6 linked regions of the Rattus norvegicus genome follow. The protein of the gene in region 5 purifies or fractionates together with the protein of the main gene of each other region. This does not show direct contact. Links are inferred from orthologs where the notes say so. Each region holds a gene or a part of one and is shown on either strand. Other genes may lie near its edges.

What was found.
Region 1: the proteins of Rnf111 (region 5) and Smad3 purify together in Homo sapiens (affinity purification with western blotting; 5 studies listed by BioGRID). This does not show direct contact. The link is inferred for Rattus norvegicus from reciprocal best matches to the Homo sapiens genes RNF111 and SMAD3.
Region 2: the proteins of Rnf111 (region 5) and Smad7 purify together in Homo sapiens (affinity purification with western blotting; 3 studies listed by BioGRID). This does not show direct contact. The link is inferred for Rattus norvegicus from reciprocal best matches to the Homo sapiens genes RNF111 and SMAD7.
Region 3: the proteins of Rnf111 (region 5) and Ski purify together in Homo sapiens (affinity purification with western blotting, with the first as the bait; 3 studies listed by BioGRID). This does not show direct contact. The link is inferred for Rattus norvegicus from reciprocal best matches to the Homo sapiens genes RNF111 and SKI.
Region 4: the proteins of Rnf111 (region 5) and Skil purify together in Homo sapiens (affinity purification with western blotting; 3 studies listed by BioGRID). This does not show direct contact. The link is inferred for Rattus norvegicus from reciprocal best matches to the Homo sapiens genes RNF111 and SKIL.
Region 6: the proteins of Rnf111 (region 5) and Smad2 purify together in Homo sapiens (affinity purification with western blotting, with the first as the bait; 3 studies listed by BioGRID). This does not show direct contact. The link is inferred for Rattus norvegicus from reciprocal best matches to the Homo sapiens genes RNF111 and SMAD2.

What each region holds. Positions count from the first base shown.
Region 1 is NC_086026.1:73,037,658-73,042,735, forward strand, and holds part of Smad3 (mothers against decapentaplegic homolog 3), read right to left. Parts: coding exon 5,057-5,078; intron 4,934-5,056; coding exon 4,802-4,933; intron 4,443-4,801; exon of another isoform or gene 4,092-4,442; intron 3,574-4,091; coding exon 3,499-3,573; intron 1,176-3,498; coding exon 1,125-1,175; intron 1-1,124. UniProt on the Homo sapiens protein: Receptor-regulated SMAD (R-SMAD) that is an intracellular signal transducer and transcriptional modulator activated by TGF-beta (transforming growth factor) and activin type 1 receptor kinases.
Region 2 is NC_086036.1:71,286,418-71,290,413, reverse strand, and holds part of Smad7 (mothers against decapentaplegic homolog 7), read right to left. Parts: intron 703-3,996; coding exon 164-702; 3' UTR 1-163. UniProt on the Homo sapiens protein: Antagonist of signaling by TGF-beta (transforming growth factor) type 1 receptor superfamily members; has been shown to inhibit TGF-beta (Transforming growth factor) and activin signaling by associating with their receptors thus preventing SMAD2 access.
Region 3 is NC_086023.1:171,001,398-171,006,475, reverse strand, and holds part of Ski (ski oncogene), read left to right. Parts: intron 1-2,748; exon of another isoform or gene 2,749-2,837; intron 2,838-3,770; coding exon 3,771-3,893; intron 3,894-4,028; coding exon 4,029-4,144; intron 4,145-4,594; coding exon 4,595-4,857; intron 4,858-4,954; coding exon 4,955-5,078. UniProt on the Homo sapiens protein: May play a role in terminal differentiation of skeletal muscle cells but not in the determination of cells to the myogenic lineage. Functions as a repressor of TGF-beta signaling.
Region 4 is NC_086020.1:114,199,985-114,205,702, reverse strand, and holds the start of Skil (ski-like protein), read left to right. Parts: upstream 1-2,130; 5' UTR 2,131-2,178; intron 2,179-3,731; 5' UTR 3,732-4,405; coding exon 4,406-5,494; coding exon of another isoform or gene 5,495-5,498; intron 5,499-5,718. UniProt on the Homo sapiens protein: May have regulatory role in cell division or differentiation in response to extracellular signals.
Region 5 is NC_086026.1:80,004,365-80,009,442, forward strand, and holds part of Rnf111 (E3 ubiquitin-protein ligase Arkadia), read right to left. Parts: intron 2,572-5,078; coding exon 2,255-2,571; intron 1-2,254. UniProt on the Homo sapiens protein: E3 ubiquitin-protein ligase. Required for mesoderm patterning during embryonic development. Acts as an enhancer of the transcriptional responses of the SMAD2/SMAD3 effectors, which are activated downstream of BMP.
Region 6 is NC_086036.1:72,183,889-72,188,863, reverse strand, and holds the end of Smad2 (mothers against decapentaplegic homolog 2), read right to left. Parts: intron 2,733-4,975; coding exon 2,609-2,732; 3' UTR 1,624-2,608; downstream 1-1,623. UniProt on the Homo sapiens protein: Receptor-regulated SMAD (R-SMAD) that is an intracellular signal transducer and transcriptional modulator activated by TGF-beta (transforming growth factor) and activin type 1 receptor kinases.

The sequences.
Region 1 (5,078 bases), about 7.0 Mb from region 5:
CATCGGCATATTTCAAAGGCTCTTTACCCATCTCCCAATATTCTAGATGACGAGTTCTATCTGATATCTGCCAAGGTCTTGAAACAAGTGGGCACCACAGCCTGTCCAACGTACTCCACTCTGAAGGGTTCTACCATGATCAGCTGCTTTTCCTGAGCCGAAAAGCAAGTGCTAGCCTAACGCCACACTCCCAACCCCATGAACCCAAACTTAGTTTGTTTTGTTTTGTTTTTTCCAAACTACAAACCAGAAAATCAAAAGCTACCTTTGATAAAAACATGGATGTCACATCTGTTTTGAGCCCTTCTGCCGTTTCTAGCCCCAAGGACTTCTGCAAAGCCTCCCTCTCCCACACAGGAGGGATGCTAGCAGGCTGGCAGGGTGACCCTCAGAACACTGACCTGCAGTCCAACAGCTGAACATTGTTGTGGGAACAGTGGGGTCAGCTGATATAAACACTGGGAGATAACACAGTGCTAATCAAGACATTCGAATGGAGAGACACATTTTCAGAGAAACAGAGGCAGAGACTGGGAGAGGCAGACAAGCCCTGGTTTCAGCAGCATGGAGCACATGTGTACACTGCCCTCACCAGTACCAGACAGACCACGATAAAACAGTTGTGCTAGGCAGTGCGATCGTGGGCACATTGCTTTCTCCCCAAATTCCTTATATGTTGCTGTTTTAATAACAAGTTATTATGAGACGATATAACTCAGCTGAAATACCAATGTGTGTCTGAAACAAGCTTCTGGGAGCTGGGGGCCGAGTCTGGGCAGCTGCCTGTGGCTTTGCCCCAAGCCACACACGTGTGTTTGGCTGACCGAGGCCCCTGTCTCCTGGGCCTGAAGTCTGGGAGATTTTTGTTCACTCACGTCTGACCGCTTCCCAGGGGAAATACGAACCTCAGCATAGACTGTCTTTCCTACAGGCCACTGTTCTCGGGTTTCTCTGTTCTGAGGTGACCCAAGGATCACTGTAACCAGAAACCCCTCGGGTTGGGCTGTGCTGATGGTGAAGGAGGGGGCAGGGCTCACCTTAACTGTCCCTTCCCACTGAGGCAATCAGTTGAGTTACAGCCAGGAGTGTGGCAGCCTTCACCTTAAAGATGGATAGTTACTCACCCAAGTTATTGTGTGCTGGGGACATCGGATTCGGGGAGAGGTTTGGAGAGCCTGCAAGGTGAGACACAGTTGTAAGACATTGTTGGAGTACTCCACTACCAAGACAGGATCACTCGCCATGCTACAAGGAGACCCTAGACCAAGCCTGGAGTCTCAGGAGCCTGGGCCTAACCTCATGAGCCCCCCAACTACACATCTAGCCATGATGCCCTATCTGTGGAATAGACAGATTGAAGGTAATTTTAAAGGCCCCTCAAACACATTCCACCTTAGCACCTAAGCAAGGCTCCAGTGCAGGCCTTGGTGGGCCCAACTAGGCCAGCTCACACACCTGCCCTCAGGGAAGACTGACTATTCCTGAGGAAATGCAAAGACAAGGAGCCCCTATGTGTGCTGTGGAGGGTAGCCTCCATCCTCACAGATCTGCCTCAGAAATGCTGCAACTCAGCAGCTTATTTGATCCTTCGTACACGGCAGGAGAGGGCATGTGACGTCTAATAATTCATGCTCTGATTTTCTCTCAATCCCTAGCTACCAAGAAAACGTGTGTGTGTGTGTGTGTGGGTGTGAGTGTGTGGGTGTGGGAGGGGGGAGGGAGGGAGAAAGAGAGAGAGAGATCAGGTCTGCCTTTCTGTAGGCCCGTGTGCAGCTCATAGTTAGTTATTTATGAATGTCTTGTGGCCCCACCCCACCCCCTGACATCCACCAGACCTTGAGGCTGAGCCCTGAAGCTGCCTTGAGCTGTCCCTGGGGCTCTTTTATTTCACCCCAACAGAGTTCTGAGCTCTGAGAGGGCCAAGAATGGGTCACAGGCTTCCTTTTCTCCCGTGGTGGCACCTGCCCCAGTGGAGATAAAGAACAATTTCAGAGGCCAAGTGGGGCTTGGCCAGCTTGCTGCAAATACGTATCACCCGTGTGGTTTGGGCCAAAGTATGTTAACATTACTGCGCCTTCATTTCCCCCTCATATAAAGTAGAGACATTATCATCTACTGACCTGTATAAAGTAAATAGAAGGTTACATTAAAAACAAACAAACAATTGCCAGGCTTGGCATATAGGAAGCATTCAATAGTTGTTTCCTATTTCTATGGTAGTTCAAATCATGAAGGTCTAAGGTTAGTCGAAAGGACACATGTGCTCTCAGGGGAGACTTGAGGGTGACCTGGGTGACCCTCTAACCAGAGACACTTCCACATCTCACCTGGTAGGAAAGCCAAGTCCATGAGCAACTGGACTCGGAGCCAAATGGGTTACTTGGAAGAAAAAGAACAAAGAAAGACCTCCACCCATCCATGCCTAGGTTGGCTGAGTACACAAATCCTAGCTCCCACAGAGCCTTGCAGGGACAGAGAGGTGTAGGAGAGGGGACAGCATAATGAGACAAAAGAAAGCAGAGGGAGCAAGCAGATTGGAGCCAGGGAAAGCATGCATGGCTGGCCCTCCCCCCACACAGGCCATTCTGATGACGTTTGTTTATTACAGTCATTGTACACATACAGAGGGGGAGAGAGCGGGCTGTGAGAAGCTCTGCAGCTGGAGGGAGGCTGCCTAGCTGGCTCACTTCCCATGCCAGCACTCTGTAGCTGCAAGTTTTCAGCAGTCACTTGGCACAGAGCACAGGAAGGTCTTCCGTGCATTCCAGCTGGGTCTGTGCTGCCAGCCACATGCCTGGATGGGTGTGTGTTGGGGGGTGTGCTTGACCTAAAAGTGTAACACCCCAGTGACTAGCACACATGTGATCCCTTTTCACCCTTTTGAGGATTGTGCAACCTCTTGCAGTCCGAGAGTGAGGCAGTCCCCCCATCGTGGGAATGGAACAGCTGCTGGGCCCCTTTCTCTCTCCTTGCCCACTACACAATGCAGAACAGGTCCCGTGTGGCAGCTGGGGCTCTGTTCAAGAAGCTGCTGGTTTGGAACCAATTTGGTCACATAACATATGACATGGGAAACATCTGGGAGCATAGCAGGATAGAACTAGCTCAGTCCCTCCCAGCAGGGACACACTGATCACATTGGCCACTACATAGAGAGAGACAGAGACAGACAGACAGACACACACATCAGTAGATAGATATTTCTTTTTAAAGAAGTCACTACTGGTGTCTTTGCTGGCCACCAGAAAAGGCTATTCCTCCATCCATGTTTTCCTCCCTGCCCTCCTGCACTGCTTCAAGCGTTCGAGCCCATCTCCCACCTTCTGCCAGCACCACACCCAGGTGACCTAACTACACTGTCAGTAAAACTACTTTGTGTCCTCACTGCAGAGGGATATATGAGGCACACAGGGATGCTACTCTACAGACACTAGGGAGGGAGAAAGCAGCAAGGCAGAAGGGAGGGACAAGGCTGCAGGCACTGCCCACACTACTGACCTGCGTCCATGCTGTGGTTCATCTGGTGGTCGCTAGTTTCTCCATCTTCACTCAGGTAGCCAGGAGGTGGGGTTTCTGGGGGACGAAAAGGCAGGCAGTTCTATTAAAATGAATGCAAGACTGGCTCTGGCAGTCCATTTGGGAGCCAATATATCATGCAGGGCACCTAGAAGAAAGCAGGGCCTCACAGGAAAAGTGTCAGCTCCTGGACTCAGCCATGCTCAGGCCTGTCCACCTCTGCCCTCTGCCTCCTAACCTGAATCCTAACACACTGACTCCCAACTCTGAAGTCCCTTGCTCTAGGGCCACAACTTAGCTGACTTGTTCCTATCCCTCAAGGTCAGGTTAAGAAGGGAGGCTTTAGAGCCTCCTTCACCATCTCTGTCCCCTGAGGAGCTGTGGCCTTGAGCCTGTCCCTGTACAGATTGGACACTCCGGTCACTGCTGTCTTAGGGGGATGTGGCTTAACTCTCCAGTGAGAGTGCCATTCAGTGGTGGCTCCCTCAGAGATCTGTTTCTCAGAATTCTGCCTTGCCCTCCCACCCTGCCTTAGCCCTCCATGGTTTGCCCCTGACAGGGAGTGGACAACTTACCCCCCGGAGGCCAGCGCTACCTGCAAGGATCTGAGAAGCCAGACAGCTGGCCTCTGCTTGCATGTGCTCTGACCCAAGACACGGCCACAGCCAACCTCAGTCCAGTAAACCAACCCAGAGTGAAAGCCACATCCAAATTAGAACACTCTAAAAGGAACACAGCTGGATCATTGCCCCGAAAGCAAAAGTTGCCCTGACTGGTCCTAGCGTGGCCAAGCACAGCTTCCCTGGATGCCCAGAGTGCTTGGCAGTGATTCACACATTATTTGCATGTAAATGAGGGGCTTCTAGAAACACTGGCACTCTGACAATGGAGCACATTCTATTTACTGCCTCAACTCCCTCTCTGCCCAGCCCAAAGCTCAAGGTATGTACAGAGCCCCCCTGCTGCTTCGCCTCACCCTCTGCCACCCCTACCCTTTAGGGACCCTGCTGGTGTGCCAGCCTTATGGGCTGGGAGGGCCAGGAGAGAGACAGTGTTGCTATTTCCGCTTTCAAAATAAATGACGGCACTGAGGCCCTGCAGAAGGGTCACAGGGTCCTCTGTGCCAAGAAAAACATCGTTAGGGAAGCTCCAGCCACTGATCATTCCCGGCAGGGATGTGGCAGAATCAGGGCCCAAGAGCCTGCTGTATGCCCACAATATGGAGAAGAGGGGAACATGGAACCACCCCTGCCTCCTGCCTGCCTCTGCTGACACCCGTGCCTACCTGGAATATTGCTCTGGGGTTCAATGCCAGCGGGGAAGTTAGTGTTCTCGGGGATGGAATGGCTGTAGTCATCCAGAGGGGGGAACTCGGCCGGGATCTCGGTGTGGCGTGGCACCAACACTGGAGGTAGCACTGTCCCCAAGGGAGACACAACAGAAACGGATCAGTGCTGGCACACTGAGGTCCCAGCCCCCAAGGGCTTCTGAGAACCTTCAGAGTAGGTAGCAGGGGGAGGGCAAGGCCCCTCTCACGTACCTGGTGTCTCTACTCTCTGATA
Region 2 (3,996 bases), on a different chromosome or scaffold from region 5:
AGAAAAAAAAAAAGGAAAACAAAACAAAACAGAACCAACAATGAATGGCAAACAACAAAACCGACCGAAAGAGTTTTGCATGAAAGATTAGCAGCAAGTAGTTTGAACGGTGGCCTGCTCGGCTCACCCCTCCGTCCTGTCCTCTTCTCCCCACACCGGGAGACTACCGGCTGTTGAAGATGACCTCCAGCCAGCACGGGCAACTGCTGATGAACTGGCGGGTGTAGCACTGGCCCCAGCCCTTCACGAAGCTAATCTGCACGGTGAAGCCCGTCCATGGCTGCTGCATGAACTCGTGGTCATTGGGCCGCTGCAGGCTGTAGGCCTTTTCATAGTCAAAAGCCTTGATGGAGAAACCAGGGAACACTTTGTGCACCAACAGCGTCCTGGAGTCCGGGTTGTCCAGTGTGGCGGACTTGATGAAGATGGGGTAACTGCTGCGGTTGTAAACCCACACGCCATCCACTTCCCTTGTCAGCTGGATGCCACAGCCGATCTTGCTCCTCACTTTCTGTACCAGCTGACTCTTGTTGTCCGAATTGAGCTGTCCGAGGCAAAAGCCATTCCCCTGAGGTAGATCATAGAAGATATCCAGGGAGGGCTCTTGGACACAGTAGAGCCTCCCCACTCGAGTCTTCTCCTCCCAGTATGCCACCACGCACCAGTGTGACCGATCCCCAGGCTCCAGAAGAAGTTGGGAATCTACAAGACAAAATGTCAGACGCGGTGAGTGGTGACAGAGACCAGGGTTCTTTTCTCCTTCTAGAATCAAAGGGCACACATGTACGCATTTGAACTCAATGCTTATTTAGTCTCCATAAGCTGTCTAAAAACATAAACAGGGGGTGGGGGGAGGTAAGCCTGGGCTAGCTGTAGGGTCTGTAGTGCTAATGGGGGGAAGAGCCTTAAACCACCTTTAAAATACAGGGCTTACTGCTGTCATCCTCCCTCTCCTCTTTATCTGAGCCCACAGCATCAGCACCTGCTGGTCCCCGAGAAGCACAGACCTTGGGACCACTGACAAAGGCCTCAGAAATGGCCTAGATTAAGAGTTGCTTCCCATGGATGGAACCTGGAGGGCAGCTTCTCTACTCCCTGCTCCCCTAAGACTTGGATAATAGATGCTGGCCTACTGGGTGCTGACCCAATCAGACTGTGAAGCCAGGTGGCCTACACAGCCTCTGTACTAGCTTGTCATCCGATTCTCACATGCCTTGTTCACCAGGGAACGTCAGCTGGTACAAATAAAGATGAGGGTGACTCTGAGGTCTGAAGGTGTTATTTTTTTTTAAAGTCATCTTCCTGACACAAACCAACTCTATCTGTAGGACAGCAGCAGCCTGTAGGCTTTGAAAAGGTTATTAGTTCAAGGCCAAATGCCAAATTACAACATGCAGGTGGACATCAGCCTAGACCACAGCCAGCCCAGACAGACGATGCCATGTCTAAATTAAACGTGACCATCATTGATGTACTCCCTCTGCCGGTCTGTCTCCCTGACGTGCTCCCTTCTCCTCCAGTTTGACCCTGCACAGCCCACACTGCCCTTTGTGGCATTTCACCCACCTACCCGTCCCCTCAAGCCCCCCCACCAAGCCCACAAAAGCCTGGAGGCCTGGCTTTCCTAAACAAGAGTTCTGTGAACTTTAGGGAGGGGGTATGTGGAAGAAAGTAAAGTCCCTCCCCCTGCATGGGCAGCCTACTACCTCCCTTCACTCTAGCCAAGAGAAAACCGGCCCCAGACTGAGGCCTATAAATCTCCCCGGCCCGCCAGGCTGCAGGAACGCTGTGGTTTGTGGCGGCAGGGTGGAGAGCGGAAGTCTTGTATTTGCTAACAAAAATGGGGGAAGGCAAGAGGGGGAAGGAGTTGGGGGGGAGGGGAGAACATCAAGGCAGATTCAGAAGCCTCCTGCCTCTCTCTCACCCCTGTAAGTTTGGAGGGCCCTGAAGATGGAGTTGCATGGGGGATGTGTGTCCTCGAGGCCTTTGTCGTTTCTGGGCTCAGAACATGATGAGGGCTGTCCCCGTCCACGGGCAGGACCAAGAAAACTCAGCCTTGTTGGTGACCCAGGGCAGCCTGGTACATCAATCCATTCCAACTTTTATAGGCATGTTAGGACCTGGGAACCAGTCAGCTCGCTGCTTGCTTTCTTATTTTATTTCTTCAAAGCAGCAGTGGGTGCGGAGTCCCACGTGTGAGTGAGTCTGAACACTTGTACAACCCACAAAGGTAGCCACCTACACCCAAATCCTGAGTGGCTGTCCCCTACCTCAGACACCCCCTCTAACTGGCCTCCCCAATCCACGCCCAGTTACGCACAAAGGGGATGCCAAGACAGGGTGGTGGATTCCTTTTCTGAATCCCCAGGCCACTGGGGGAAAAAAAAATCGACATCGAAAACCTGCGCTGTCCCCTGCCCCCACCGCCATGGACCTACACCACCCAGTATACAAACCGCATGTGTGTCTGAGTGTGTGTTTATGGTGGAGTGTCTGTGCCCGCACACTCTAGAAAGGACGAGAAACAAGAGAGGGACGAGGGCTCCGAGCAGAAGGTGAGTCATCAGGCATTAACTTGTTCCTGCAGAGTATCCATCAACTGCTAATAAAGTGAGCACAGGCAATCTCTGAACTTTCTTGCAGAGGGAGCTCAGCTCGAAGGCCGCACCAACATCCCCTCACGTTAGTCCAACGAAGTAAGACACTTCGGGACACAAGAGTGTTTCCCCAAAGTGTCCCAAACTTGGGTCAAGAAACCGGGCCGTGGGGGAAAGGAAGACTCGGGGAGCGGCTGAAGGGAGGGAAGGAGGTTGGGGAGACTCTCAAGAGGGGCCTCACAAGGCTTTGTTTCTTGTGGCCCAGCCCCACTGAAACCTGGCACCACACAGCAAGGGTAGGGGGAAGGAAGAAGAGGGAGGAGGAGCCTGGGATCAAGTTGCTCCCCATGCCAGGCCTCCTGAGCAAGGGGTGAGGGTCCTGTCTGCCAGGCAAGCCTCTGGGGCAGCGCAGACTGGGCAAGGCTGGATGGCCTGAGGTCTGTGGGGAGAGAGGGAGTGATGCAGGGAAGCTTGCCTGGGTTTCTCTTTCATCTACACAGACGGTCTTACCCAGCAATTTGCCGCCAGACATCCCCAGGAAAAAGCCCTTTTCTGTTGAGGTTAATGGCCCAGCCCAGATAAATGGTAGTGTGTGGGTGTCCCCTCAACGCACTACAGGGAGACCCCTGCTTGCTCCTCCCTGTCTCCAGCCGCACACAGGGCAGCTCTACACCTCCCCCTTGCTCTTGCCCAGACTACTTCTGAGCACACACACACTCTCCTCTCCAGCAAGCCCTCAGTGAACACATCCCAAAGCAGAAATCACACCTTCTGAGAACCCAGAGCAGTACCAAGCCATGGCGGCTCCCGCAGGTCCCCCTTGGCCTGAATGACTGCTTGGGCTCACTTATGGGAAGTACCCAACATCGTTACCCAAACTGCGCCCACATCCCACAGTCTTCCAACAAAGGTCAGGGTAGGTATTTCTCTCTGAGAGTTTCCCAGGACACATGGACAGGGCCAGCATCGCCTTGGTCACCGCAAAGGGAGGAGGAGAGAGCAGGAAGTCCAACTCTGGCTTCACTACTCACATTCCCGACGCAAACCCACTCACGCTCCTCAGTTTCTCCCGGCTCTATAACCTTCCTGGTGTTTTTCAACTTTTCCTCCCCAGACACTGCACAGGGGGCCTGTGTTTAAACTGCATGCATTCATCCTCAAGCATCCAGAAGAAAAACTACGTTGTAAAAATCTCAGTGATCAGATGCCTGCTCACAATTTTTTTTATTACAGCTGTGGGGACTTTTTTTTTTTTTTTAAGCAATACCAGAAAAATGCTGAATAGATCTAAAATTCCATTAAGGTGTTTGCCCCGCTCCCCCTCCGCGTTTTCCTAACGCATAAAATCTTCCCTTTAAGGGGAAGGGGTAGTAAGGGGAAACCCGAGAGGGAGGATTTC
Region 3 (5,078 bases), on a different chromosome or scaffold from region 5:
TTCACAGGGGATGCTCAGGAGCGAGGCACCGAGACGCCGTAGATGTCTTCCAGATGGCTGTGGCCCTTTGCGTGGCACAGAGAGCAGGGCCTAGCCTGCTTTACTGCTGTTGGCAGCTGTTGAGTTTGGGTGTTCCCTCATAATCCATCCTGTTGTATTTGTGTGTTTAAGGGCCTAAGTGACAAGAAACCCTGGCACTAGATAGGCTGAGAGCCTGGCTGGAATCAGGCCAGTCTCATTTCCTGACACTTGTTCCTTCTGTTGGCCTCTCCTGCCTCTGTCTCTAGGAAGCCTGCCTGGGTCTGTCCTGTGATATGGGTACTGTCTGCATAGCCAGGGACATAGAGCAGAATTGCTGTGTTCTCCCATGGCTGTTTGGTGGTCGCTTAAAGATGGTTGGCAGCGTCTGGGGCAGTGACCAAAGCACTATAGGAAGTTAGGCTCCGTGTTATGATTGCAATCTGATGTGACCCTGACCCTGAGTCATCAGCCAGCATTTGAGATGACCCCCCTCCCCCAACCCCACACACACAAAATCAAGGACAAGAAACTGGATGTGGCTGGAAGGATGGGAGCGCAGGCACCTTGGGGACAGTTTCTGGGGCAGACTCTTGTTAGTTTTGTTTTGGGGACAGGGTCTCTTTATTAGGTAGTTCTGGCTGTCGAGGAACTTGCTGTGTAGACCAGGCTGGCCTTGGACTCCCAGATCTGCCTGCCTCTGCTTTCCTAGTGCTGGTGTTAAAAGTGCATGTGTGCCCTTCACCCTGGCTCTGACTAAAGAGGGGTTATCTTGGGGTGAAGAATGGCAGTGAGCTGCTTCTCTCAGGACTGGAAATGAGTGGAGGCTATCAAGATTCTATAGCGTGTGAGGTGAGCAGATGCTCTGTAGGGACCCCCAGTGGTTCTCAGCTTCTTTGTGGGTATCTGGTTACCATGATCTTAGCAATGTGCAGGCCTCTTTTAGAACCCCCAACCCACTCCACTGCCTCCACAGTATTAGCCAAGGGGACCACTGCCTCTGGCAAGTTGCCTCGTGAGGTTTCTCCAGACCTACCGTCTTTGCTTCTTGGGCATAGGCATCTTCAGGGTGCACTGTCTGTCCGGTTCAAGCCCTCTACTTGTGCTGTATGGTTCCTGCTGGCCACAAACCCCTGAGGCTCTGCCTGGCAGTTCTCTGTACCATCTGAGGCTAGAGGAGAGTGTTAGACACAGCAGCCATATTGGCCACAGCTCACCTGAATGCCAGCCTCCACTGTAACCCGTAGGCCCATGTCGTCCTGCCCTGTTTCTGCCCTTGGGCAGCATGAGTGTCTCAAGTGCTCTTTCTGAGGTTTGGAGGTGGAGGTGAGGAATTCTTAAGTTCCCTGTAGGTCAAGAGTACACAGACTCAGCGATGGGGGGTGGGGGTGGGAGTGGGGGTGGGCGTATATAGCTGGCTCCTCATCTGCTTTGGGATCTACATATCCACAGCCCTGCCTGGCCCAGCCCTTCCTGCACAGGTGCAAAGGTCACACTCAGTGACACCTGTTCTCTGCGTCTTTGCCCTTGGGATGTGGAGGAAACAAGCACCACTGTCTGAAGCTCCAGAGAGGAAGTAGCCACAGGGCATTGCTGTGGCCAGCTCAGCTGGCTCCTCCCCTGATACAGCCTGATAATAGCCCTTGGTATTGGACTTTTGGCAGCAGGGCTGTCTCTTGTCAACCTGTTTAGCTCCTGGCTTTAGCATATGGGCCCAGAGCTCCCCTCCTGGCTTATAGACACTGGGATGGTTTTGAGGCCCCAAGAAAGGACAGGATCCAGAGGTAACTGACTGGTCCTAACCATTGACTGACTCCTAGGACCCCTAGTATCCATGCTATAGATGGTGGTATCCCAGGTCTGACAAAGCTTTTTCACTGCACCCCTGTCAAGCAGGACCCCTGTCAAGTGACCCTTCTTCAGGGTCCTGTTGCTTAACAAATGCCCTTCAGCTTCCCCCTTATGTGTACAGCTAGTTTGGTATTAAAGGGATTCCTGGCACCGTCTAGTTTTAACACTTCCTTGTTCTGTAAGAGTTCTGGTTGCCTTTGGACTTTGTATGAAAATCTCAGGAGAGCTGTCCCAGCTACCCTAAGACTCCTCCACTAGCTCCAGGGGCTTCCCCATCCGATGTGTGAAGCAGCTGGGTTACCTTAGGAGACTTTGACCCCAGTATGGTAGTCTACCACTCCCCCCGTCTGTGGCCCTTCTGAACAGGAAGCAGCCTCACCCAGTGGTCCTATTCCCCAGCATTTTCTGCTGGGTCACAGTTTTGAGGCTGCCTGAGCGGTGTCCCAGACTAGACTTGTGGCTTTCTCTGTGAGAGAATAGAAACTCACTTTTTGCACCTGTTCCAGTGTCTGCTCAGACAGGAAGCCCCACCCTGGTGTGCAACACCCCCCTTCTGCCTCCATTGTGAGAGGGATCCTTGCAGTTCCGGAAGTGGGTTCTTCTACCCCAGCCAGCATCCTGGGTATCTACTCCTTCAGGGAGTACACACGGCCTCCGCTGACAGATCCTCTGCTAAGTGACAGCTTGACACTAAGAGTTATTCCCTCTAGAAAGTGGTTTCGGTGTCTTTTCTTCTTGAACAGTTATTTGTATGTGTCTGGGAACACCAGTGTCGTCCCAGGCACATGCATGCCGCCAGGGGGGCTGATCGCCCTCTCCAGGTTTCCTAGTAAGAAACCTATCAAGCTGGCACCTTGGCTGCCTTCTTCCTCTTTGCAGGTGTTGTGATAAAAGCCCTGTTCTTCTGTAGGCCGGAGGGCTCTGGCTGGAAGTCTCACTTTAGCTGCATCCTTCCCATTACACCCAAGGTAACGAGGCTGTGCGTGGGACCGAGGTGTAAACCCTGTATGCCTGCCTTGGGGTCTGTGTCATCTCCTTAGGCCCTACCTGGGGGACAGCAGCTTAGCTCCTCTAGTCTTATCTGCTCTGGGAGAGGCCCATGCTGTGATTGTTCTGCAGGTGGAACGCCGGTGTGTGTGTGTGTGTGTGTGTGTGTGTGTGTGTGTGTGTGTGTGTGTAATGTGACACTTAGGTGGAGGGTCATTGGATTTCACATACAGACTGGCTCAGGTGTGCACCACTTAATGCTGGATGTCAAACTAGACCACAGCTGGTGCCCAAGATAAGTTAGGGTACTGGCTGGCTTCTGTAAGCTGACAGCAAAGGCAGTGTGGTGACACCTGGTTAAGCTATTTTGTGAGGTATGTCATGGTCCTTCAAGTTGAATATTTCCTTCCTCTGGGGAGGGGGTAGCTGTGGTAACCGTAATGCTCTCCAATGAAGCAGTGATAAAGGATGCCCAGAGGGCAGCCCTCTTGGGTTCCTTACAGGCTGCTTGTTGGGTCACACTTGAGCCTGGAGTCAGTGCTGGGTCATTTAGCCCATTCCTGATGTGGCCACAGAGTGGGACTGAAGGCAAAGAACCTAAGAGTGCTGTGGAAGCCGGAATGGGTCTTGGCGATCCACACAGCACCCGCTGCAGCTGTGATGAGGTCACCTCAGAGCAGCCCACAGCAGCACAGTATTTCTCTGTCTCATGGGACGCCCTCGTCCCTTAGCAGACACATCAGGCTTACCTTTCTGCACAAGGCCAAGGTGCTCTGTGTTTGTGGCTCTGAGGCTCCTTCCTAGCTGTGGAATTACAATGGTCCAGTGGAGAGCTTGCTACTATGGGGCTGGTAGGGAGACCAGACCCTGCCTGGGCCCAGGGATCCCAACAGGGCCTTTTGTGTTGATCACAGGTCTCAGAGCCCCCAGCTTCCATAAGACCCAAAACAGACGACACTTCCTCACAGTCCCCTGCGTCTTCTGAGAAGGACAAGCAGTCCACTTGGCTGCGGACCTTGGCTGGTTCCTCCAATAAGGTGCTATGTGGGAACCTGTCTGGGGTCTTTGGGGAGGGAGTAAGGCCCTTCTTAAGCCAACTCTGGCTCTACTCGGCCTCAGGGACATAAAGTGGCTTGTAGTTCTGTAGTCATTTACATGGGTTTTCTTGACAGAGCCTCGGCTGTGCTCACCCTCGCCAGCGCCTTTCTGCTTTCCGGCCCTGGTCCCCTGCAGTGTCCGCAAGTGAGAAGGAGACGTCCCCACACCTACCAGCCCTGATTCGAGACAGGTGAGCAGGGATGGACAGGAGAACTGAGCTCTGGTATAAGAGGCCTCCATGGCATCAGTGCCCTTAGTCCTAGGATAAACTGCCTAGAGTTTTGAAGTCTTGAATGAAGATGCTGGGCTCACAGACAGTACTAAGAGTTCGCTTCTGGCGTTCAGGAGGCAGAGGCAAATGAATCTCTGTGAGTCTCAGGCCAGTCTGGAGTTTATAGCAGATTCCAAGTCAGCGAGGCTTGCATGAAGATTGTGCCTCTAAAAACATGAAGGTCTAGCTATGTGCTATACTAACCCAACCTGCAGGAAAATTTGTGGTTCTCGGTCATTTGAATCTGGACCTCGAGAGTTAGAGTGGGGAGAGGTCCTGTGTCCTGGCTGACTGAGCAGGGTGCATTCTATAGCTCATGTAGGGATTTGAGAGGCAGATATACCCCGGCTAAGCATCTGTTTCCTTTAGCTTCTACTCCTACAAGAGCTTTGAGACAGCTGTGGCCCCCAATGTGGCCCTAGCACCACCAACCCAGCAAAAGGTTGTGAACAGTCCACCATGCACCACCGTGGTCTCCCGGGCACCAGAACCCCTTACTACGTGTATCCAGCCACGAAAGCGAAAGCTGACCATGGACGCACCAGGAGCCCCAGACATGCTCACACCCGTGGCTGCTGCAGAGGAGGACAAGGATTCTGAGGCCGAGGTTGAAGTTGAAAGCAGAGAGGAATGTAAGTGTGGACTGGACTCTGCTCCCCTTGGGAGGTGGGGTAAGGAGGTGCGTTTGGTGACCGAGCCTAATGCTTTGGTTTCTCTGTCTGTCCTCAGTCACCTCCTCCTTGTCCTCGCTGTCCTCCCCATCCTTTACCTCGTCCAGCTCTGCCAAGGATCTAAGCTCCCCCGGCATGCATGCTCCCCCTGTGGCTGCTCCTGATGCCGCAGCCCATGCTGA
Region 4 (5,718 bases), on a different chromosome or scaffold from region 5:
TGTTTCTCAGGCCTTGGCCATGCTAGCAAGTAATTACTTTCATGGCTGGTAAGAGGACTACTAAATACTTACCATTAATTGCAGTCTCAGACTTGCTTAAGACACACACACACACACACACACACACACACACACACACCCTCAGTTATCTTGGTTTCTAAGTTTGTTTCTTCTGGTTAGATCCAGAGCCAGGTGCGAGGTGACCAGGCGCTCAGTCTCAGGACTGTCCTGGCTTTGCGCCTCAGTTTTCCAGCCAGCCTTCTGAATATCCTGGCGGTTAGAACATCTATTCCCCGAGACTCGCAGATGCTGCTCTCCCCACACTGGCTCTGCACAGAACATCATTATCTTTGCTGAGCTTCTGTCTCTATGGCAATAACAGATGGGAAGTGCTGTGGAATTATTCATGTTCACACAGGCAGTCAAGAAACGGGCGAGTAGGAGGTGGGAGAGGGGCATGACCTGGGAGCACGGAGATGGGGGCCGACAGGAGCTGGGGCGGGGGCGGTGATGAGAGGTGACATTTGTTAGACCTATTGTGGGGTGAAAAAGGACGAAAATTCTTCAAGCACAAAAGTACTCCCAATTGGATAGCTGCAAATGTGGACCCAAACATGAGTAACCCCGAAGCGGTAAAATAAACTGGGCGAGAAAAAAAAAAAGAAAATAAAAAGGAGGGGTGGAGTGGGGGCGGGGAGCACCGCCGTCGCCGAAGCTTGAGTTCCCTAAGTCTGCGCAGTGCTACTCGCTGCGCTATTTCAGTTCCTGATCCTGCGGTGGGGTGGAGAAAAGGGGATTTCTTGGTGTTTCGAAATATGACGGGCTAGCTTCACAGAGTTGAATATTCGAGCTATCCTGGGTACGTTGGCTAGGAAGTCCCCTCATCCACCCCCGCCGGCGGTTCGAGGTGGCAGCCGAAAGTGGTTATCTTCCCCCACCTCTTACCGTCTCTGGAAAAAAAAAAAGAAAAAGAAAAAAGAAAAAAAAAAAAAAAAAAGGAAAAGCCCGAAAACCCCAACCAAAGTGCTTAGTGAATTAGAACCGGTCACTTTATGGAGGACGAGAGCAGCTGGGGCAGCAAGGTCTGCCCCGGCGGTGCTGAAACCTCCGCCTCCCGGGCGATGGCGGCCCGGGAGGCGACCGGGTGAGGCCACCCCAGCGCGGCCAGGCGGGGCTGATCGCCAGCAGCTGGCAGGGCGGCCGCGGCGGGAGGCCCCACGGGGGCGAGAGGCCCCGCGACGTCTGCGCGCCGGCGGGGGGGGGGAGAGCTGGGGGAGGGAGCGCGGGGGGAGCACGGGGGCAGGTGGCAGCGCTGAACGGGGAGGGTGGCAGCGCGGGGGCGTCTGCGCGGCGGGCTCAGCCCGGGGGTCGCGGCGGGGAGCCACCCGCAGGCTACCTCCGGGGCGGGGCCAGGCGGCCAGCTGCGGCCGCGGGGGTGGGGGGCTGTTGGCCGAGTCTGACCTCGGGCGCGGCCAGCTGCCGGGGTCGCGCACAGTGCAGCCCGCCGCGCCCTACCCCCTCTCCGCCTTCTCACCCCCGCCTTGCCGCGCGGCGGCCCAGCGGCCAGGGCGCCCCCAGGTCTGGCCCGTCACCACACGGCGGCGGGCGTGGCGGGGGCGGCCCCAGACAGCCGGCTGGGCGACTCGAGGAAGGAAGGAGGGCGGCGGGGGTGGGGCCGAGGGAACATCCTGTCTGCGCCGGGCACCGCAGACAGTGCCGTGCGCCAGCCGCCCAGACGGCGCGCCGGGCCAGCCAGCAGCGCGGGGCACGCGCGGGAGGGGGCGGGGGAGCGGGAGACCGGCGCACGCGCGTGCGCGGCGGAGGCACCAGGCGCGCGCCCCGGCCAGGGCCGGAGAGGCGCGCGCAGCCTGAAGCGCGCAGACCGCGAGGAGCCACAATAGGGCAGACGGCGCGCGCGCTCGAGGGACTGGCTGGCGCGGGGCCGCGCGGCGCCGCTGGCTTAGTTCCCTCCCCTCCCCCGCCCGCCGCCCTCGCTGTCCCCCGGGCGGCCGGAGACGGCGGCGGCGTCTGCGGGAAGCCGTGTCTCCGCAGTGACGTGGGCGGGCCGCGGGCCGGGTGACGTCAGAGGCTGTGTGTAGCGATGTGTGTGGGGTTCGGAGCGGCGCCGGCACAGCGAAGGCGGCGGGCGAGCGACGGCGACGGCGACGGCGGGCACAGGTGCGGCCGCAGGTCGCGAGGGGACGTGAGGGGCGTGCGGCCTCTGGGGGCGCTGAGGCGGCGGCGGGGGGGTTATGGGGAGGCCACAGAGCCCGTGGGGCTGTCCGGGCGCCGAGGGCCTGAGTGGGGCGTCCGGGATGCGTGGGGTCCCGGGCGGGGTCGAGGGCACAGGGCGCGCGGCGGGGGTCCCACGGGTGTACAGGCCTCGCAGATTCTAGGACGGGTCGGCTGGGAGGGGATGGCGGTGCACTTGACCCGAGCCGCCGGGACCCGGGAGACCTGGACACCGGTCATCGCCGCCATCCCCCGGCCGTCTGCGCTCGGCGGGGATGCCTCGGGCTGGCCCCATCTCTGAGCGTCCAGCGACGCAGGCTTCCGGGCTTGGCGCCCAACCTGCCTGCGCCCCTCTGGGTGTTACGGCTCAGGGTGGGTCAGTGGTGGGGAGGCGCAGCCCTGGGGCGCAGAGGTAACCCCAGAGAACTTCCCGCGGACCGAGTGCGTGGGGGATTTCCACCGGCGGCCCCCGCAGTGGGGCGATGTGGGGAGGGCACTTAGGGTGATCCCGGTCACAGAGGTGGGGGTTGGGAGGACTCCTACTTCCTCTGCCCCCTCTCACCTCACCAGACGTCGGGAGTCCTCTGCTTCCCGGTCCTTCGGGTTGATGATGAGTGGGTGTCTCTGCGTGTGCGCAGGGCTGCGGGGGCGCCCCTGGTCTAGGTCATGCCTCCTGCCCTTTTCCTTGGCTCGCCTTGGCTGAGGTGTCCCTGTAGTGGCGAAAGTCACAGTACGGTGGCTAGGTGGCTTTCGTCCGTAATTCTCTGGGTTTGTGTTAACATAAATTGCTGGGAGTTTAGAAGCAAAGGTTTTTATTTATCGGCTTTTATTGGGTTTTCTCCAGGGAGGGAAGTGGATGAATACTCTTTTTCGCCACTCTGCCTCCATTTGCATTCTTTGTGAGGTCTGTCTGCCTTGTGCTTTTTGTCCCGGATTAGTCTTGCTAAAGGATGGAGATTTCCAGGCATGGAGTCTTACAGCTTTTGGCTTCCATTAAGCAAATTCGCTAACCTTTTAAAGGGAAAGTTTTTCTTCTTCTTCAATTTAAAAAGATAGTATATATTGACTAGATGAATTAATCTGCTTGAGACTTAATTACATATGGTAGGTATATTAACATGTATCTTTTGCGGGGTGGGGGGAGAGCAGAAACTACAGGGTTCTTTTTTCTGAAGAGAAAGGATTACTTTTTAAAATTTAAATGGCATGCATAGTTGAGAAAGCCTCTGCTACTGCGTTTTGGTTATCCGTATTCTAAATTTGTGTACTCTTCCTTGTTTGGAGAGATATTATTTAATGCTCCTGTTACCCACGGTCTGGACTGCTTCCTATTTAGATGAAGTTTCTTTTAGATAACTGGTGTTAGGTTGGAAGAAACCACCCAAGTGTTACCTTTGGCAAAGTGAACTGAGTTTAAGATTAAGAAACTGGTTTTAAACAGACCCTTTGGCCTCTGGAGCTAATTCAAATGTAACTCTCCCCACCCCTTTCTCTTCCAGATCAATTAAAAGAAGAATGAACTGTAATCCCTGAAGATAAACTGGGCAGCTTTTTTACTTAGTGTATGTATATTGCTAATTATAAAAGTTCAGGTGGAGCCAGGCTCCTGCTGTGTGGAGATTTAGACAAGTCTTCAGTTTGTCAGCACAGAGCCACAGACCACCATTTTCAGTGAGGATACCTGCCTCTTCTTTTTTGGTGTTCTTGGCAAAAACTAAAACCATTGCATCATTGTAACTCGTGTTTGGGTGTAGTTTCAGGATACAGTCATGGCATAAACTTTCCACATGCTTTGCTTAAAGAACAAAACCAACCAAACTCAACCACTATACCAAACTTTGGACTTCTTGAACTGAGGAATTAGCTTTATTTTAACATAAATAGCTGAAGTGCTCAAGAAAACAAGACTTTTCTCAGGGGTGTGCTGACAATTATACCCTTTGTTATTAGAAGCGAATTGAGAAGTTTTGTAGTATTTTCAGTTACATCCTGAGAAACGGCTGAACCGAAACAGAGTTGTACAATCTATTGAGCAAGAAAATTCATCTTTGGAAACTAAACATTTCTAAGTGAGTCACAAGTATTTGTATACGTTGCCTTTTTCTCTTCAAATTAGGAACTGAGAACAACATGCCAATTGAAGACTTAATTATTTAAAAACACCGGTGTGGCCATGGAAAACCTGCAGTCTAATTTCTCCTTAGTTCAGGGTTCAAATAAAAAGCTGAGCGGGATGGAGGATGATGGCAGTCCTCCCGTGAAAAAAATGATGACAGACATTCATGCCAATGGGAAAACGCTGACCCAGGTGAAGAAGGAGCATTTGGACGACTACGGAGATGCGTCAGTGGAACCAGATGGCGAGCACGCCAAGCGCAACTGTCCTTCTCTACCTGAAACTTTAAATTTAAACCCCAGTCTGAAACACACACTGGCACAATTCCATTTAAGTAGTCAGAGCTCTTTGGGTGGACCAGCAGCTTTTTCTGCTCGATATTCCCAAGAAAGCATGTCACCGACTGTGTTCCTGCCTCTTCCGTCTCCTCAGGTTCTTCCTGGTCCTCTTCTTATTCCTTCTGATAGCTCCACAGAGCTCACTCAGACTGTTTTGGAAGGGGAGTCTATTTCTTGTTTTCAAGTCGGAGGAGAAAAGAGACTGTGTTTGCCCCAAGTCTTAAATTCTGTTCTCCGAGAATTTTCACTCCAGCAAATAAACACAGTATGCGATGAGCTCTACATCTATTGTTCAAGGTGTACTTCAGACCAGCTTCATATCTTAAAGGTCTTAGGTATACTTCCATTCAATGCCCCCTCCTGTGGGCTGATCACGTTGACTGACGCACAGAGACTCTGTAATGCTTTACTGAGGCCACGAACTTTTCCTCAAAATGGTAGCATACTTCCTGCTAAAAGCTCTTGGGCCCAGCTGAAGGAGACTGGCAGTGCCTTTGAAGTGGAACATGAGTGCTTGGGCAAATGTCAGGGTCTCTTTGCACCTCAGTTTTATGTTCAGCCCGATGCTCCCTGTATCCAGTGTCTGGAGTGCTGTGGAATGTTTGCTCCTCAGACATTCGTCATGCATTCACACAGATCCCCTGACAAGAGAACTTGCCATTGGGGCTTTGAGTCAGCCAAGTGGCACTGTTACCTTCATGTGAACCAAAAATACCTAGGGACACCCGAAGAAAAGAAACTGAAGATAATTTTAGAGGAAATGAAGGAGAAGTTTAGCATGAGAAATGGAAAGAGAATCCAATCAAAGGCAAGTTCCTTTTTTTTTTTTTTGACTAGTAATTTCAAATAGTAATGGTATCCTAATTCTGTGTCTACAGCTTTGAATTATGAAGCTAATGCTTCAGCCTGTCCATGTAACAACAAAAACCCATCAGCCTCCTGTTTGTCTGTCTTAGCCACAGTGGTTTCCGTATAGGTTTTCCCCTGAGAGAAGTAGGGTCATTCCCATTTTACAGGTAAGAGAATGAGCCT
Region 5 (5,078 bases):
ATGTCTACTAGTTAGGTTCAGTACAGTTGTGCTTTCAAAATGGATCTGGCCAGGTGTGGTTGATATACCTGTCACTCTAGCCCTCAGGTAAAAGAAGCAAGGTGAGCCTAGCCTACATAGTGAAGATCTTATCCCTGACCAGTGTCAAACATGGATAGAAAGATGGTTCTGAATGAGGATACAAGTTTGATTCCTCCAGAATCTACACGAAAAGCTAAGTGCACACCTGTAATCTCTGCACTGGGGAGGCAGAGAGGACAGTTCTTAGAGTTCATCCCTATCAACAACACCAGTCTGCTGTCCATGAGACAACTTTGGGATAAGCTATCCCTTCCTTTAAAACAGTGGTTCTCAACCTTCCTAATGCTGTAACACTTTAAATACAGTCCCATATATTATGGTGATACCCAATCATTAATCTACTTTCGCTGCTACTTCTTAACTGTAAGTTTGCTGTTAAGAATTGTGATGTAGGGGTTGGGGATTTACTAGCTCAGTGGTAGCAAGGGCAAGGCCCTGGGTTCCGTCCCCAGCTCCGAAAAAAAGAAAAGGAAAAAAAAAAAAAAGAATTGTAATGGAAATACCTGTGTTTTCCACTGGTCTCAGGTGACCCTGTTAAAAAAAGGGTTGTCCAACCCCCAGAAAGAGTCATGACCCACAGGTTTAGAACCACTGTTTTAAGGTAACTGGAACTGGTAAAGACAGTCACCTACTGACTCTGAGCAAAAGGAAGCATTGTTTCTGTAATTCAATCTCACCTGCACCTTTATCTTTTATTTTCTGAGTCAAGGTCTCATTACATATTCCTAGCTATCTTGGAACTCTATAGAATAGGCTTGCCTAGAACTCACAGAGATCCACCTGCTTCTGCTTCGAGTACTAGGGTTAGCTACCTTTCTGTCTGACTTCTGTTTGTCCCCACCTCCCTCCTTTTTCTTTTCTTTTTTAAAAATTTTTTTAAGACTTATTTATTCCCCAGCTTCCAAAAAAAAAAGATTTATTTATTACATATGAGTACATATTTAATATTTATTATATCTGGTGTCCACCAGAAGAGGACATCAGATTCCATTGCAGATGGTTGTGAGCCACTAAGTGGTTGCTAGGATTTGAATTCAGACCTCCCTCCTTTTTCAAGGCAGGATTTTTCCAGTGTAGCCCTGGCTGTCCTTGAACTCAGAGCATTCTGTATCTCAGAGTACTGAAGTTATCTCTTAGCCAACTGTATTCTTATCAACTACAACAAGAGAACACTATGTGATAAACTCCTTTGTTGGGAGCTCTCTCAAGAATGGGGAAGCTGGTGGGGCTACCCTGCCATGGCCTACAACTCTAGTTAACTTCCTCTCCTTTCAACTCCCATTGCTGGTAAAAGGAGGCTTTCCTTTATGGCAGAGCCTTCAACATACCTCCTTCCCCAGAAGTACAAAAGCTTCAGATAACCATTTAATATCCTGAACTGTTAACACAAAGAAGCAAAACAACATCTGAAATCCTGCTCATTATTAAACTAACTCTTTTCAAATTCCTACTGGAGAAGACCTCTCCATTATTGTCCCAAAAGAGACAGCCAGCAAAATTTAAAGGCAAAACTTGGTGCTTCAGGAAAGGTCAAGAGACACAGAAAGGCAGCCTTTCTCAAGGTATCTTGGCTCTGTTCAGCCACATGACAACTAAAAGTTATATTAACTTCCCTGAAATAGTATCTTTTGGGTTTGTTTTTGTTTCTAATTGCACTGAAAGAGAGAGAGAGAGAGAGAGAGAGAGAGAGAGAGAGAGAGAGAGAGAGAGAGAGAGAGTGTCAGTGCTCATGCATATGTAAGTCAAAGAACAATTTGTAGGAATTGGCTCTCTCTTCTCACTATGTGGGTTCCAGGGACTGAACTCAGGTCAGGCCTGGCAGTAAGTGCTCTTACTCACCATGCCATATCCATGACCCGACAAGTGAATTTTACGATAGCTATCATGTCTACTTTTCCCCTTAACTGTTTGTAATAATTTTAACTTTCTGTATACCAAGACTCAATTTAAAAATTCACAGCTCATTAAATTAGTTCATTTTTGCATTCAAGAATATGGCTTAGTTTATAAACAAATTCATTTTGGCAACACATACACTAAAATATATCACTGGGATTTTCTACTTCTTTATGAACACAACCCAAGTTTAAAAGAAAAAAAAAAAAAAAAGGAAGAGAAAGGAAGGAAAGGGGTACAGGGAGAAGGGAGGAAGTGACTTGTAAAACCCACACACCTGGTCGTGGTAGCTGGAACCAGAGCTGCTATTTGCTCCACAAGGCGCCTGTACTTGAGGTCTTTCCACAGGACAAGCAGGGTCACTGAAGGAAGGAGAAACTGGGACAGCTGGGTGGGGAGTATGGTGGTGGTGGTGGTGATGCTGAAAATGGTGGCCATGCTGCTGAAAACAACTTGAGTGTGGATGTGCTAATGCATGGTGACTCTGTGATGTCCCTCCGCATGGTGAGTGCTGGGGGCAGCATGAAGGTAGCCTTGGCATTGCAGGAGGACCACTTTCTGGGACAGCATTTGATGCAGTTCTCCTCACGTCATCTTGAAACAGAAACAAATGGAAAAAATGATCAAATACCAGTGTATAAAAATAAGTACTGTGTATAATCTGAAAATAATCTGATGTAGAGAAGAGAGTGGGCTGGTGAGACTGATCAGCATAGTAAGGGGCTTGCTGTTGAGTCAAAACACCTAAGTTAGATTCCTGGGACTTACATGACAGAAGAAAAGAAATCACTATCACCTCAAGTTGTCTTCTGAAGTGCACATGTGTGTGCATACATGTATATACACACACACACATACATACACACACAAAATCTAATTTTTAAAATAAAAAAATAATATGATGGTAATATGCTTAACACACAGTATGCAATGTTGTGTAGTGTTTCCACTATGATTCTTCTGAGAATATAAATTCTTCAGGGAGTTCATATGTATCAAATCTGACAAAGAGATTATCTTTTCTTAGTATTTCTTAGCAATAAAGTTTCAAAAGTATCATGTGAATTCTTCCGCTCTGTTCTACAAAGAAAAGATCTTCTAAGTCCCTTTAACCAGTAACACAAATCACTTTCCGTACTGTAGTCTGCTGGGTATATTCAACTAAACTGGAAGCCGCAGTATCCACCTTATGACTATCTGGCTGGATCACTATCTCCCAATCTTTTCATTTCCTCTGCTGCCCAAACTCAGATAAAACTAATTTTGGTAACAAAATGTGACTCCAAGGAATCGAATTAATTGTTACTGTACACTGCACATAAAATGGAGGGGTCAGTAGAACAGGGGTCCAATCAGGAGGCTGAACACTTTTGCTTTTTACTTGCACAATTCAAGTATATGCACAAGCTAGAAAAGTGAGCTGTTTAGAGTATATGTTTGAGGGCGACTCCAGAATAGTCCAGGGACCATGTCCAAGGACAGTTAAACTTTATACAAGGACAGGACAACACTGTAAAGTCACAGAATGAGAGTTATCAGCTTCCCAGTGGCAGGTGAAAACAACTTCAATTATGATACAGAAGGGCCAAGGAAAGGCCCGGGAAGATGACAGGCATAATGCATGCTTTGTCACTCTGAATAAGTCAGAAGCAAATTAAAGAACAGGGATCAAACAGTGGTTGGAAGCACTTGCCACAGAGTCTGAAGACCTGGGTTTAATCCCTGAACACCAAGTTGCCCTGTAACTTCCACACTCACTGTGGTGTGAATACGCACACACGCACAGATAGATAACTTCACAGATAGATAACTTCGATAAAAAGAATGTAGAATGGAAACCCGTAGCACGCACAGAGACTGCAGGAGACCCTGTACATGCACTAGGAAACGGAACTGGTGAAGACAATAAAGACAAAGAAAACACAAGGTTAAGAATGGAGATGGGGGGGCTGGGGATTTAGCTCAGTGGTAGAGCGTTTGCCTAGGAAGTGCAAGGCCCTGGGTTCGGTCCCCAGCTCCGAAAAAAAGAACCAAAAAAAAAAAAAAAAAAAAGAATGGAGATGGGGGGTTGGGGATTTAGCTCAGTGGTAGAGCGCTTGCCTAGCAAGTACAAGGCCCTGGGTTTGGTCCCCAGCTCCGGGGGAAAAAAAAAAAAAAAAAAGAATGGAGATAGAACACAGACTCAGGGATTCTAAATAGACAGTTGGGGATCAGGCATTTAGGAAGAACAGCAAGCTAAACACACAAAGGCTTTTATGAAGCTAATATCAGGTCCTCTATTATAGAAGCACATGCCCGAGAATTTATTCTTTAACTTCCTTCCCATGAAAGATGAAAGCCTTGAGAAAAAGAACAGAATTTTGAAATTCATGGTGGCGGGGTGGGGGGCGGGGGGGGGGGGTGAGAGGGGAAGAGCTAACACAACATGAAGGGCAAATCACTACGAAGAGCCTACCATAAAGTACTCAGCACTTATGGAGGCAGCGGCTTGCACATTTGGTCATTAACTGCGTCATTTAGTTATTTGGATATCAGGTAGTTAGCTGGCTTAAATGATTCAAAGTAGAAAACCTGTATGGATCAGGGAACAAGTGATAAAGCTGAAAGCTGAACGGACAATTCCATATGATCTTGAATGTGAAGAGGAAACACAATCCAACTGCTTTAATTCAGTACAACTACATATGCCACTTTATCAAGTTTCTGTATAACAATTTGGCTTGGGACAATCATCTGTCTCAAAAATTGTATAGTGTAATATCAAGAACAAACTGTCAGGAACTACAGTGAATTTAACACCTAAGAAATGAAACAGAAGTTACTAAAAATAAGTAGTCATGTATAATACATAAATGAAAGCTGTAAGGTAATTATGAAATGTAGGTAGGAAGAACAGTATTAATGCTATCAAGAGAAAAGTGAATGGAGAGTTGAAATCCTTACCACAAAGATACTATGAACCCCAAATTAAGTATTTAGCTTTTAAATTTTCATCTTATATAAAATGGGAAATATAATGCAAATACCAAGGCATTTTTAAGTATTAAATGACAACATGAAATCACATAAAAGGGGTTAGAGCAATAGCTCAGGGGTTAAGA
Region 6 (4,975 bases), on a different chromosome or scaffold from region 5:
CTCAACTCAATAGTGTGCAAAACTGAAGTGTGCACAAACCAACCAGGAGGAGGCCCAGGAGTCATCTGGAACGAAAAACCAGTCCTGCTGAAAAGGTAAAATCAACAAAAACTAGGCCATGGTAGACAGAGGGTAGTGCACACCCACAGCATTTTGGTGAAAAGCAAAGGTGACCACTGAATTCTTTTCACATGAGTTTACACTGTGACAGTCCGAGCTCAGAGACAGTGTTTCCCAAGGAAAACACTTCATACTGTACAGAAAACCTGTTGGCATCTCTTTAACATGTCTGATAACCTCCTACCACTTTCAGAGCTGTGCTCTGCCCCCAGACCTGTCCCGACAGCTCGTTTTGCAGTCTGTCAAAGGTTCCAGTGAGGGGCACTTTCCGTATAATGACGGCCTCCAGCAGGCTCTGCAGCAATAATGCCCATGATACGTGTCCTACCTATCATGAGACAGACAGACACCAGGAGGGACACGGTGATAATCATGTGCACCAACAAGTCCAGAAGCTTGAAGCATTGGCCTCCAGACTGGTGAGCATTTACATAAAGGGAGTTGTTAAATTAGCACTGACTTGGTGTGAGAAAGTTGCACAACAAAGGAAGAGATGACAGGGAGATGACAGAAGCAGCCTATCACAAGGCAGTCCCACCTTCAACAGATTCTACACAGAACCACCACTGTCATCCTCACGTGTGGGTATGTGCAGTTATGATACCTGACGGTGCGTCTCAGAGCCTGAGCCTCTGGGTTAGATGCTGTCCCAGCAGAGTTAAACTGACCTTGACTCTTCATAGCACTTTCTCCTTCTATCAGGTGTTAGCTTAAGCACCGCTCGCTCAGATGCCTTCCCATTGTCCTATCAATAGCATCCTCCCTGCCATGCTCTAAACATACCCTGTTTACCCCTATGCAGACACTGCAGTATGTGTGAGAGCAGTGCTATCTTAGCAAGGCAGAACTACAGCTCTCTTGTTCACCTTCACCCAAAGGTTAAGGGAGTTCATGGCACATTAACAGGTGAACAATAAATATTTGAATAAAAAATTACTCTACCAAATTTACAACACAGAACATACAGACACAAATATAGGAAAATGAGAAATATCAAGTAGAAAACCAAATGTTGAAAAGCATCAAAAATGATTACTGTACATACATGAGAGTATGGTCACAGAGAGTAAGTACCAAAGTTATTTGTCTGCAAAAACATGAAAGTTTACAAAGAGGAGATTGGGAAGTATTTTCCATTTGTACGGAGTTGCAAACAAAGGAATCAGCACTGGACGTGACTGCTGTGTGCTGCAGAGCAAAGGGCCAACAGGACAGCTGGGATCACCTTTTTGCAGAGCAGAAAGGTCAGTAAACCACACACCCAGGATTAGTCAAGAAGAGTGAAGTCCACTGCTAACTGCGGGCTAGAAATCTTGCTGAACGGCTTAGCTCACAATATTTAAAATTTTGAAACTAGGCAATATAACATTCTATTTATTATAAATTACAGACGATACACTTTAGGAACAGATGGCCCTATCTGCTGATGACACTTCAGCATCAGCTAACAAAGGTCTCTTCTGTGACAACCTGTAGTAAAGTGAGATGACGCCAAAAGCTGACTGCCTTTACAGAAAGATACTTTATTATCAGACTGGCGTTGGAAGAAGGAAACATACTGAGATGATTCTAGAATAGCCCTGAAAATAATTATACTGTCACCTGTGCACGTTTGAGACAAAAGTTAATCAATGGAACAACTGGTTATCATCTGCTGAAGTCTGGTTAGAAGACAAAAGGACTTACTGCTCACACAATCCTTTACTGGACTCAGAAGTAACTAACCCAGAAGCCATCAGTGCAACTATTTACCACAATGACATCATGCTGCACTGCTTTGAATCAGAACAGAAATGGCACAAAGAGCCTGGAAGTTTCCAACAAGGTTTCCTTCTAATGCAATTCAGCAGAAAATGATCACAGAAAGAATGCTAAGACCCACTGGACACATTAAGGTCAAGGACTTCCAAGTTAATCCACTTTTCTTCCCCCACGAGTTTATTTTTGGTAAAAGGCAGAAAAATTAGTTTCTACAAGGAAAATCTGCTTCTAAATGATAATTTGAAAATCTCGATATATATATTATATATTAAAAAAGACACAAAAATAACGGAGAAGTGGGAATAACAGATTAGGTACTGTAATTTTATAAAGGCTTGCCTAGACCAAGCAGCAGCACACACCTCATTTATGCACACTAAGAAGGTATACAAACAGCAGAGCACTGCAATACTGGGTCTGGACACATTACTGTACACAACTACTACTGGTATTAATAACCTTTGGGACACTGTCTTATGCCCAACGAGACATCATTAAGTCTTTAAGTCTTCTTTGTCCCCTCTGGGGAGGGCATTTCTAGACACTAATTTCCCATCTAAAATTCAAATGTAGGAAACAGACTCCACAAGGTGCTTTAACTGATGAGACCTCAAGTGCTGTTTTCGCTCTGGGTTTTGACTAGCACAGTCCACGGGATCACACACGAGTACTGTGGCGGAGGAGTTGGTACGTTAAGTCTTCCAATGAGCTCCACTGCTGACGGACTTTAGGACATGCTTGAGCATCGCACTGACGGGGATCCCATCTGAGTTAATACTTTGTCCAACCACTGCAGGGGGCCATTCAGATGAAGTTCAATCCAGCAAGGAGTACTTGTTACTGTCTGCCTCCTGTTTGAAAGAACACAAAAAGTTAGAAAATTAAAAGGCTATATATAATAAAATATTTTTTTAGAATAATTATTAGTTTTATATATAGTTATTAATTTTAAAATGGTTAATTTTTACTGCTAAAATGAACTAATGAGTTTTTCCTTTTTCAAGAATTTTCTTTTTTTTTTTTTTTTTTTTTTTGGTTCTTTTTTTTCGGAGCTGGGGACCGAACCCAGGGCCTTGCGCTTCCTAGGTAAGCGCTCTACCACTGAGCTAAATCCCCAGCCCCTAAGAATTTTATTTCTTTATGTGTGGTACATATGTATGTTTCTAGGTGCACGCAGAGGCCAGAAGGGAGTCGGATGTTTTCCTCAACTTCACTTTGTTTCCTTGAGTCAGGGTCACTCACTGAACCCGAAGCTCCCTATTCTGGCTAGACTGCCTGGCCAGCAAGCTCCCAGAGTCCATCTGTCCCCCAGCCTCAGGTCCTCAGTCCCAGCCACCCCATCCCACCCCATGCAGATGTTAGACACAGCTGTGTCCGGGTCTTGTGGATGCTGGAGCTTCATACTCAAGTCCTTGTAGTGGCCAACTTTTGAGATTTACCAACCAAGCTATCTCCCCAGAAGTCCACCTTTTTGAAAGATTTACAAACTATCCTTTCTCCTGAAGTTAAATGAGTCTACTGACACTGCTATTTACCTGCCACCTCAAATGGGACGCCTGTGAGAGGAAGGTACTTAATAATGAGGCCGGGACGAGAGACAAAAACCAGGAAAGATTGCCCCAAGGAAAATGACACATATGACCCCCTACTTTTATGTTATCAATGAAACCTACACCAGAACAAGGTTCAATTTTAAAGTCTGCTGACCCAATCTAAATCCTTACCACACAATGTTAAGATTTGAAGCTAAAGTTTCTCTAAGACTCACAACAAGCAACATCCTTGTCAGTAACACCCCTCAGGCTTCTACTTTAAAAAGTGAAATTAAAACCATCTAGGCTTTAACAAAGGGGGCACTGCCTACTCCCTGAATCTTATTTGCTACAAAGAGTTATCAATACATTTACTTTTGCTTCTTCAACATGACATTCTTCAATCATGGTCGAAGAACATTATCAGGTCTCCATCTTTAAACAATCCATGCCTGACAGCATTGAGGACTGGACAGCCATAGGGCTGAAGGCTCAGCAGGAGAGTATGCGATGCTCTGTTAGACCCAGGTTAGTGACCGGGACCCACATCTGGCAACTATAAACACCTGCAACTCCAGCTCCAGACAGCTACAACCCTTTCTGGATTTCACAGGCAATGCCATTCACACACGCACAGACACACACGCACAGACACACACGCACAGACACACACGCACAGACACACACGCACAGACACACACGCACAGACACACAGACACAGACACAGACACACACACACACACACACACACGATGATACACACATAATTAAAAGCACTGCAGGAGGGGTTGGGGATTTGGCTCAGTGGTAGAGCTCTTGCCTAGCAAGCGCAAGGCCCTGGGTTCGGTCCCCAGCTCCGATAAAAAGAAAAGAAAAAAAAAATAAGAAAAAAAAAAAAAAAGCACTGCAGGGGAGCTTAGTGTCCAAGCATGTATGTAGTGCTTTTTATCCCGTGGTATCAACTCAAGTAACCCCTGGGTCTTCGGGATGCTCTAGGCAACTTCCAAGCACAGGCACCTGCATGAGGGTTTCTGCCATGCTTGCATGTGTAGCAGGCTGGAGATCCCGTACACTCAGCAGACTGGGGTAAGGAGAAGCGAGACCACAGGTGAGGGGGACTACAACCAGCTGTTGTCAACTGACCTGCTGACCTAACTTTTATCCTACTTCTAATCAAACTCTGCTGCCAGACTGCCAGATTCCACACTGCCCTTTGCTCTCCTGAAACCCTACATGCATCTCCTAGAACCGGACCTAGGTTGCTCCACTCAGGAAGCTTCCCTTGAGTACAAAGTAGACACCTCTGGTTCTATAAAATGCATGTTTGCATACAGTTCAGTCTTCTCTCCTATAATACAGTCATTTCAAGTTTCTTATCTATGGGCCTCCAACTTTCACTAAGTGTCAGCCTCATGTAATTCACTCACGACCATGAACTCCCGGACCTGGCTTCTGTGTTGTGTATACCACAACACCTGGCTTCTGTGTTTCCAAAGATTAAAGCGCGCACCTCCACATGACACACAAGCGTCCCACCGACTTACACGCTTAGCTGTCTTCTA